2 linked regions of the Macaca mulatta genome follow. The protein of the gene in region 2 purifies or fractionates together with the protein of the main gene of each other region. This does not show direct contact. Links are inferred from orthologs where the notes say so. Each region holds a gene or a part of one and is shown on either strand. Other genes may lie near its edges.

What was found. Proteins that work in one complex are often made in the same cells at the same time.
Region 1: the proteins of STX12 (region 2) and STX10 purify together in Homo sapiens (affinity purification with mass spectrometry; 3 studies listed by BioGRID and IntAct, counting the BioPlex papers as one, with this or other methods). This does not show direct contact. The link is inferred for Macaca mulatta from reciprocal best matches to the Homo sapiens genes STX12 and STX10.

Annotation. Positions count from the first base shown.
Region 1 is NC_133424.1:13,720,989-13,725,433, forward strand, and holds the start of STX10 (syntaxin-10), read right to left. Parts: upstream 3,073-4,445; 5' UTR 3,067-3,072; coding exon 3,032-3,066; intron 2,791-3,031; coding exon 2,621-2,790; coding exon of another isoform or gene 2,611-2,620; intron 2,469-2,610; coding exon 2,374-2,468; intron 1,976-2,373; coding exon 1,913-1,975; intron 1-1,912. UniProt on the Homo sapiens protein: SNARE involved in vesicular transport from the late endosomes to the trans-Golgi network.
Region 2 is NC_133406.1:213,166,804-213,171,284, forward strand, and holds the start of STX12 (syntaxin-12), read right to left. Parts: upstream 2,981-4,481; 5' UTR 2,967-2,980; coding exon 2,849-2,966; intron 1-2,848. UniProt on the Homo sapiens protein: SNARE promoting fusion of transport vesicles with target membranes. Together with SNARE STX6, promotes movement of vesicles from endosomes to the cell membrane, and may therefore function in the endocytic recycling pathway.

The DNA of each region.
Region 1 (4,445 bases), on a different chromosome or scaffold from region 2:
CGGGCGCCTGTAGTCCCAGCTACTCGGGAGGCTGAGGCGGGAGAATGGCGTAAACCCGGGAGGCGGAGCTTGCAGTGAGCTGAGATCCGGCCACTGCACTCCAGCCTGGGTGACAGAACAAGACTCCGTCTCAAAAAAAAAAAAAAAAAAAAAAAAAAAATTGGCCGGGCACGGTGGCTCACACCTAATCCCAGCACTTTGGGAGGCCGAGGTGGGTGGATCACGAGGTCAGGAGTTCAAGACCAGCCTGGCCAAGATGTTGAAACCCCATCTCTACTAGAAATACAAAATTTGGGCCGGGCGCGGTGGCTCAAGCCTGTAATCCCAGCACTTTGGGAGGCCGAGGCGGGTGGATCACGAGGTCAGGAGATCGAGACTATCCTGGCTAACATGGTGAAACCCCGTCTCTACTAAAAATACAAAAAACTAGCCGGGCGTGGTGGCGGGCGCCTGTAGTCTCAGCTACTTGGGAGGCTGAGGCGGGAGAATAGCGTGAACCCAGGAGGCAGAGCTTGCAGTGAGCCGAGATCACGCCACTGCACTCCAGCCTGGGAGACACAGCGAGACTCTGTCTCAAAAAAAAAAAAAAAAAAAAAAAAAAGAAATACAAAATTTGGCCGGGTGCAGTGGCTCAAGCCTGTAATCTCAGCACTTTGGGAGGCTGAGACAGGCAGATCACAAGGTCAGGAGATCAAGACCATCCTGGCTAACACGGTGAAACCCTGTCTCTACTAAAAAAATACAAAAAACTAGCCAGGTGTGGTGGCGGGCACCTGTAGTCCCAGCTACTCGGGAGGCTGAGGCAGGAGAATGGCATAAACCCAGGAGGCGAAGTTTGCAGTGAGCTGAGATCCGGCCACTGCACTCCAGCCTGGGCGACACAGCGAGACTCCATCTCAAAAAAAAAAAAAGAAAAAAGAAATACAAAATTTAGCCAGGCATTCTGGTGGAAGCCTATAATCCCAGCTACTCGGGAGGCTGAGACAGAGAATGGCTTGAACCCGGGAAGCGGAGGTTGCAGTGAGCCAAGATCACATCACAGCACTCCAGCCTGGGCAACAGAGCAAGACTCCGTCTCAAAAAAAAAAAAAAATTAGCCGGGCATGGTGGCATGTGCCTGTATTTCAGCTACTCAGGAAGCTGAGGCTGGAGAATCACTTGATCCCAGGAGGCGGAGGTTGCAGTGAGTCAAGATCGCGCCACTGCACTCCAGCCTGGCAACAGAGCGAGACTGCATCTCAGGAAAAAAAAAAAAAAAAAAAAAAAGGAAGCTATGCGCAATGGCTCATGTCTGTAATCCCAGCACTTTGGGAGGCTGAGGCGGGCAGATCACTTGATGTGAAATGTGAGGAGTTCGAGACCAGGCTGTCCAGGATGATGAAACCCTACTAAAAATATAAAAATTACCTGGGCATGGTGATGGGCACCTGTAATCCCAGCTACTAGGGAAGCTGAGGCAGGAGAATCGCTTGAACCCAGGAGGCGGAGCTTGCAGTGAGCTGAGATCGAGCCACTACACTCCAGCCTGGGCAACAGAGCAAGACTCCATCTCAAAAAAAAAAAGAGTAAAAGGCAGGCATGCGTCCTGGAAACAGCTACAAACAGGACAAATGGCATGGAAGCAGAAAGCAGATAGGTACACAGGCCCCCAGCCGTCCCCTGCAACAGGAAACCAGTATAGACCCAGAGGAGACAGTAGAGAGGAACCCATGGACATATACACACAGAGAAGTTCAGGTGCACACACCGAGAAAGTGCAGGCAGGTAGACAGCAAGAAGACAACTACACACAGAGAGGACGGGCACTGTCGCAAAAGGGACAGGCGAACACATGCAGAGGGATCTGGCTTGCACTCAAAGGCGTGGTCACCCCCAGGCGCTCAGGTGGACCGAGTGGGTTAGGAAGGCTTACCTCTCTGTTATTCCTCTCCAAAAATGCTACGGCTGTTGGGCTGACCATATGGTCCTTCATTTCCTGGAAGTGAGGACAGCATTAGGGAGGAAAGACACTCAGGCCCGGCGCGGTGGCTCACGCCTGTAATCCCAGCACTTTGAGAGGCCGAGTCGGGTGGATCACCTGAGGTCGGGAGTTCGAGACCAGCCTGCCCAACATGGTGAAACCTCGTCTCTACTAAAAACACAAAAATTAGCCGGGTATGGTGGCAGGCACCTGTGAAGTCCCAACTACTCAGGAGACTGAGACACGAGAATCGCTTGAGACCGGGAGGCGTATGTTGCAGTAAGCCAAGATGGCAACACTGTACTCCAGCCTGAGCGACAGAGACTCTGTTAAAAAAAAGAAAACAAAACAAAACAAAACAAAAAAGACACTCAAACCGTCCCCCACTCCCCGCCTGCAGGACCTTTCCTGACCTGGACTGCCTCTCGCATCCGCTCCACGAACACCTTTCTCTCCTGCAGGTCCCCGGCCGGGAGCTTGAACTTGCCTGGGTTGGCTTCCACTATACGTGGGCTGAGAGTCAAGGGTCAAGGCCAGAGCCAGATAGCATCATCATCCCCCTCCCTAGGGGTCTAGCCCTCCCCGAGGGCGGGCTCCCAGGCCCCCTGCTACCCCAGTGAGCTCTCCCATGCCACCCCCCGCCACAAAGCCCCAGGATATCGATGGTCTCTTCCAGGTCCTCGAGGTCCCACTCGATGCTGCGCAGGCCATTCCGTAGCTCATTGGTCGTCCAGTCCAGCTCCTCGCGTCCGACCGCCGCGCTTTCCTGCAGAAGCTCGCACCAGCGCTGGTATAGCCCGCGGGCCGTGTTCACCGCCTTCTGCACCTCGCTGCGGGCAGGGGCACGGCGGGCGCAGCTGGGGGCAGGCGGTCCTTCCGCCTGCCTCTGCCCCCGATTGCAAACCCAAACGCATGGGGGACTCCGGAGACCCCCACATACCCCTGCGTGCGCCTCCCACTTTGCACCCCGACGGCCTTGCCTAGCCCGCCGGGCACGCTGGAGCCGGCACCCGGGCACTAGCTGGATTGGGGACGGAGCACCCTCCGCCCTCCCCCGTCGTGGTCACTCACCCTCGGACTACAAAAAAGGGGTCTTCGAGAGACATGTCAATCCCCTTCCCCCCAGGCCGAAACCCCCTCCCGGCCTGGGTTCGCGGGCTGGTTCTCTCCCAACCCAGGAGAACGCGCCACCACCCCCGCCCCCCGTCACGCCACCATCGAGAGCGGGACCGCCAGGGCAGAAAGAGAGGCCTCGGAGGCCGGACGTGCGGACACTTCCGCCCTCTCTGCAGCCATCTTGGTTGTGGGCAGAGGCAGCTTCCGGTACGCATGCCCCGCCCCTTCGCCCTCTTGTGCCGCACCGTAGGGAGCGGTGTCGGAGTTCTGGCTGGGCCTGTTCGGGTCCGAGTTCGGAATCTCGGTTCAAGGCTCAGTTCCTCGGATTGTTCCTGCTCAACCTCAGTTTCCCTTCCAGGCACGGGCAATGTAAATAATGGTAGCCTCCCTTATCTCTGGCGGCTGGGGACTATGGCTGGGGAAGGGGCTCATTCGATTGGTTGAACGTTTTCATGGACTCCCTGAGCTGGCACCTGGGAGATCGTCCCAGTCCAGGGTCCCGAGTGTCAGGTTTGGGCAAGGTTTGGGGGAGAGGTGGTCCTTCCTTCTCCCTGCCGGGGCGGGGCGAGGAGCGGGCCTGCTCCTGCGGGGAGTTCTGCCGCATTCTCCAAATCTCTCTTTCCTGAGAAGTGGGCAAGCTGGGGGCACCTCGAGGTCGCCTTGGGGCGAGGTGGCCGTGAGTGGGGGTCCCAGATATTCCAGGGGCGGGGGGAGGTCACCTTCGAGAGCGTGCGTGGAGGTGGGTGTCTTCAGAAGCGCGGATTCTTTCTGGGTGAGAGCCTGGGGGTCGCGGGAGGTATGGTGGCTTTGAGGATGGTCTCCAGGGGGGCCCTCTGTGTGGGGTCTCCGTCTGGGTACGGGCCAGGAATATCAGCGAAGGGACTCAGGGTCGTCCCTATGTGTGACAGTGGCGCTCTGTGTGTTGAGGGGTGAGGGAAGCTTCGGGAAAGCACTTTTTTGAGTGGTAGGGGGCCTGGTCTCCCCTGGAGGGTGGGCGGGTTATCCGAGGGAGTCCTCAGAGGGTCGCCCCCTTGCGCGTCAGAGTTGCTGCGTGGGGTCTCAGAGATAGCGCCTGGGCCGGGTAAGTCATTGTGGGGTCTCCGTGGTAAGGTTAGTGGGGCGGGGACGGGGGCGTCTTCGGCAGGTCGTCGCAGTGTGGCACCATCGTTGAATGGGGACGAGTTTGGGAATGGTCTTTTAAGGGGGAATAATTTTTGAGTTCCCACCGTGCGGGGGGAGGGCGGGACGGGAGGGTGCCCCAAGGCCTGAGAAGATCAGTGTGGGGCAGGGGTCAGGGATAACCTGGGAGGGGGCCTTGTATGGGGGAAATAATTGGGAAGGGGAGAGATGGGATGAACGGGGTCTCAGC
Region 2 (4,481 bases):
AAAGATCCATGCCAGTTCTTACACTTACTACATACTCAAATAAATGTATGTTGAAGGCTAGGCGTGGTGGCTCACATGTGTAATCCTGGCCTATTGGGAGGCCAAGGTGGGTGGATCACTTGAGAACAGGAGTTCAGGACCAGCCTGGACAACATGGTGAAACTCCATCTCTACAAAAAATATAAAAATTAGCCAGGCATGGGCCAGGCGCAGTGGCTCATGCCTGTATTCCCAGCACTTTGGGAGGCCAAGGCAGGCGAATCACGAGGTCAGGAGATCGAGACCATCCTGGCTAATACGGTGAAACCCCGTCTCCACTAAAACTACAAAAAATTGGCCGGGCGCGGTGGCTCAAGCCTGTAATCCCAGCACTTTGGGAGGCTGAGACGGGCGGATCGCGAGGTCAGGAGATCGAGACCATCTTGGCTAACACGGTGAAACCCCGTCTCCCAGCTACTTGGGAGGCTGAGGCAGGAGAATGGCATAAACCCGGGAGGCGGAGCGTGCAGTGAGCTGAGAACCGGCCACTGCACTCCAGCCTGGGCGACAGAGCGAGACTCCGTCTCAAAAAAAAAAAAAAAAAAAAAAAAAAAAAAATTAGCCGGGCGTGGTGGTGGGCGCCTGTAGTCCCAGCTACTCAGGAGGCTGAGGCAGGAGAATGGTGTGAACCCAGGAGGCGGGGCTTGCAGTGAGCGGAGATTGTGCCACTGCACTCCAGCCTGGGCGACACAGCAAGACTCCATCTCAAAAGAAAAAAAAAAAAATTAGCCGGGCATGGTGGTGCACACCTGTAGTCCCAGCTACTTGTAGGGCTGAGGCAGGAGGACTGCTTGAGCCAGGGAAGCTGAGGCTGCAGTGAGCTGAGATCATGCCACTGCACTCCAGCCTGGGTGACAGAGTGAGACCCTGTCTCAAAACAAAAATTTAAATGTAAATTTTAAAATGTATGTTGGATCTACCTTTGGGAGTATTCTGGTTTTATATATATATATATATATATCAGCATGTATATAATATTCATTCAACATGTATCCATCTATCCATCTTCATGTTTATATTATATATTAAATATAATATTATATATGATATATATAATATTGAATACAAGTTGAATGAATATTTTGCAAATAGATATTAAAATCAGATTTAGCTTCAACAAGAAAATTTCAGCCTTGAACTAGAATTTTCTGATCTAACCTGTATTACAGCTCCTTCACAAAAGGAAACTGGAACAAAAAGTACTACACTTTCTAACCAGTGGTCATATTATTTTTTTTTAGTTCTGGATTTTAAGAGGTCACATACCCTTCCTTTCACTTCCAGAGTCTCAACTGCTTTTGATCAGAAACTTCTCAAATTCTACAATATACATTTAGATTTAAAAGCAAAGTGAGCCTGGGCAACATAGTGAGACCCCATCCCTACAAAAAATTTAAAAATTAGCCTGGCATGGTAGATGCATCCTTGTAGTCCTCGCGACTCAGCAAGCTGATCAGGAATTCAAGGTTATAGCCAGCTAGGATCGCTCTACTTCACTCAGATCACTGCACTCTGCCTGGGTGACAGAGCTAGACTCCATCTCTTAAAAACAAATTTAAAATATTTAATTTTTTTAAATTAAAAAAATTAGGCTGGGCACAGTGGCTCACGCCTGTAATCCCAGCACTTTGGGAGGCTGAGGTGGGAGAAGTGCTTGTGCCCAGGGGTTTGAGACCAGCCTGGCCAACACAGCAAGACTTCATCTCTACAAAAAAGAAAAATTTTTTAAAGTTTAAAAACTAAAGCAAAGTGATATTATTTAAAATACAGAATTGTAATTCAGGACTAACTAGTTCTACCTATTAACAGAGTACACCAAGCTCACAAAACACAATAATAAACAATAAGGATGATGACCACCATTCTTTCCAAGTAAAGCTGTTGCTGATCTCCTGTTTATAAGGCTCCAAGATGATTTTCAAGCCCAAGAAACACCCTGTATTTGACTCATTCAGCTACAGTTTCACTCAGACCCTAATGGGGAGGAGGGAGTTTTAAGACAAGCAATACCATTCTGAATTCCACCAACAACTCTACCATGCATTACTTGCTCTGTGGTTGTGGCTAAGTCTCTTAGCTTCCCTGTGTACCAGATTTGTTCAAGAGCAGCTAAGTAGGGAAGGAAAACAAAAGCCTCATCTGCCTGAAATCCAAAAATACACCCCAATGCTTTGTTACAAAAGACAAAATAATGTAAGTTGAAATGTTGCTGGTGAATTATCTTTATTAAAACAGAAGTCATCCCACCTCTCAAATACCAGTCATTGTGTCTGATTTCCGAATTCATTACAGGAAGAACTGTGTATGAAGTCATCCAAACACATGCACTCTCCACTTCCCTTAATTGAAAGTTGCTGATTTCCGAGGAGCCAGGGGCTGAGCAGAATGTAAACCTAAAGCCTAAATCAGTAAACAACCCCATCCAAACTGGCCTAAGAGGAAAGCGAGGTGGGTGGGGAGGAAGGTGGATGACAGGAGAAACTCGGCTGACCACTGCGCCAAGTCAACGCACTCACAGCTCTCGAGATGACACACACTCCCCTTCCCACCCTCGGGCTGTTTTGGTCCCAGAACCGTGGGGGCAGAACTCCAGAGAAGCAGCTCAAGCTTCAGCTGGGGCCGGGGACCCTCGGGCAGCCCGGGCCTGACAGACTGGGGGAGGCAAGCCCACCGCCCCCAGGGTGGACAGCCCGAGACAGCCCCAGGTGTGGCCTCGGCCGTAGTCCCAGCCGGGCTCCGCGACCCGACAGTCTCACCCAGGCCTGTCCCGGGGACAGCTCCCGCCCCCCAGCTCGGTACCCCGGCTCACTGGCTTGGCTGATCCGCTGGATGTTGCCGCTGCACGTCTGGATGATGCTGCTGAAGTCCCGGAGCTGGGGCCCTGAGGGCCCCAGGTTCCGGTACATATCTAAGGGACCGTATGACATGATGAGGAGCTGAGACCTGCTCGCCCTACACCACTCTCCTACCGGAAGCAGCCGCCAGCCGGGACCCGCAGGCTGACGGAGAAACTGGGAAGAGCAAGGGCGGGGAAGAAGCTAAGGCTGCGTGCGCACTAGTCCCGCCCCCACGCAGCGCGCACGCGTCCTCCCCGCCCCTGTTCAAAGTGCGCAGGCGCCGCTGGGACTGGGGCTGGGACTGTATCTTAGAGACAGGACTGCCTGGGGCTTGGGGGTTGCGGGGCGGAGAGATGACGTCACCTAGTTGGGGCTGAGATTGGATGAGCTTGGGTGGAGGTGTTGTTTCTCGCCAGGGCACATTGACAAGAGGCAAGAATTTTCGATTTGCATAAAACTGTACCAGATGATCTCAGCCCTTACATCCTATTCTGTTTTGAGAATTCAGGCCCAAATATGGGAGTATTCAACGTTGAAACTCAGACCAGGAACCAAATCGTAACCCGAAATTCCTCTCTACTTCCGTCCCCAGGGTTTTGGTAGTATTTGGGGTTTCCAAACCGCTTTCATTTCTCCCTCCACCCCTCTTCTAATCTAAACAATAAAATAATAATGTTTATTAAGCACATACTATGTGTGAATCCTCACCGCAATTCACTTGTTCATAAGATTTTTCACAGCAAGGGACGATGCTCTGTCTACATTTTTATCATTAGAATAGATAGCGGAGAGTCGGTTTTTTAAATATTGAAGTAAAGTAACTCATCAATGTTAGCATTATTATTTTCCCTATTACCGATGAGAAAATTAAGACCAGCGAGGTTACTTCGCCTTGCTGAAGTTTGACTGCAAAAGCCAAACGCTAAGCTGACTCTCTCCTCACCTTGCTACTTCTCTAAAATTCATTCTCATCGAAATCTCTCCCAAATAGCTCGTTCATCTATATCCCAAACCGGGATTTCTTGGAGAACTAGATTCCTAAAATTTAAAAATCATACCCTTAAATACTTTGGAATGCATGACCTCAATTTTCCTACAGAAGACTGCATTTCTGTAAGCGTATGTTAAAAGGAAAGACATAGGATTTTGGTTTGGGAGGAGATCAAGATGGTGAGAAGTGAAGGGGAACTGGCTGTTTCCTGTGTTCTCCACCCCACCCCAGCCTGCTTTGCAGTCTTTGGAAAATGCAAAGACGGAAAGCTGCTTGCCTGGGTGAAAGGAGACCCCAAGTGAATGAGCCTGTATATGGCCTTAGGGTTTTTTCTTTATTTTATTTTATTTTTTTTGAGACAGGGTTTCGCTCTGTCACACAGGTTGGAGTGCAGTGGCATGATCTCCGCTCACTGCAACCTCCTTCTCCTGGGCTCAAGAGATCCTCCTACCTCAGCCTCCAAGTAGTTGGGACTACAGGCGTGCGCCACCACGCCCAGCTAATTTTTCTATTTTTTGTAGTGATGGGGTTTGGCCATGTTGTCCAGGCTGGTCTCGAACTCCTGGGCTCAAGTGATCACCACCAGCCTTAGGATTTTTTAAGGGTGGCTATCT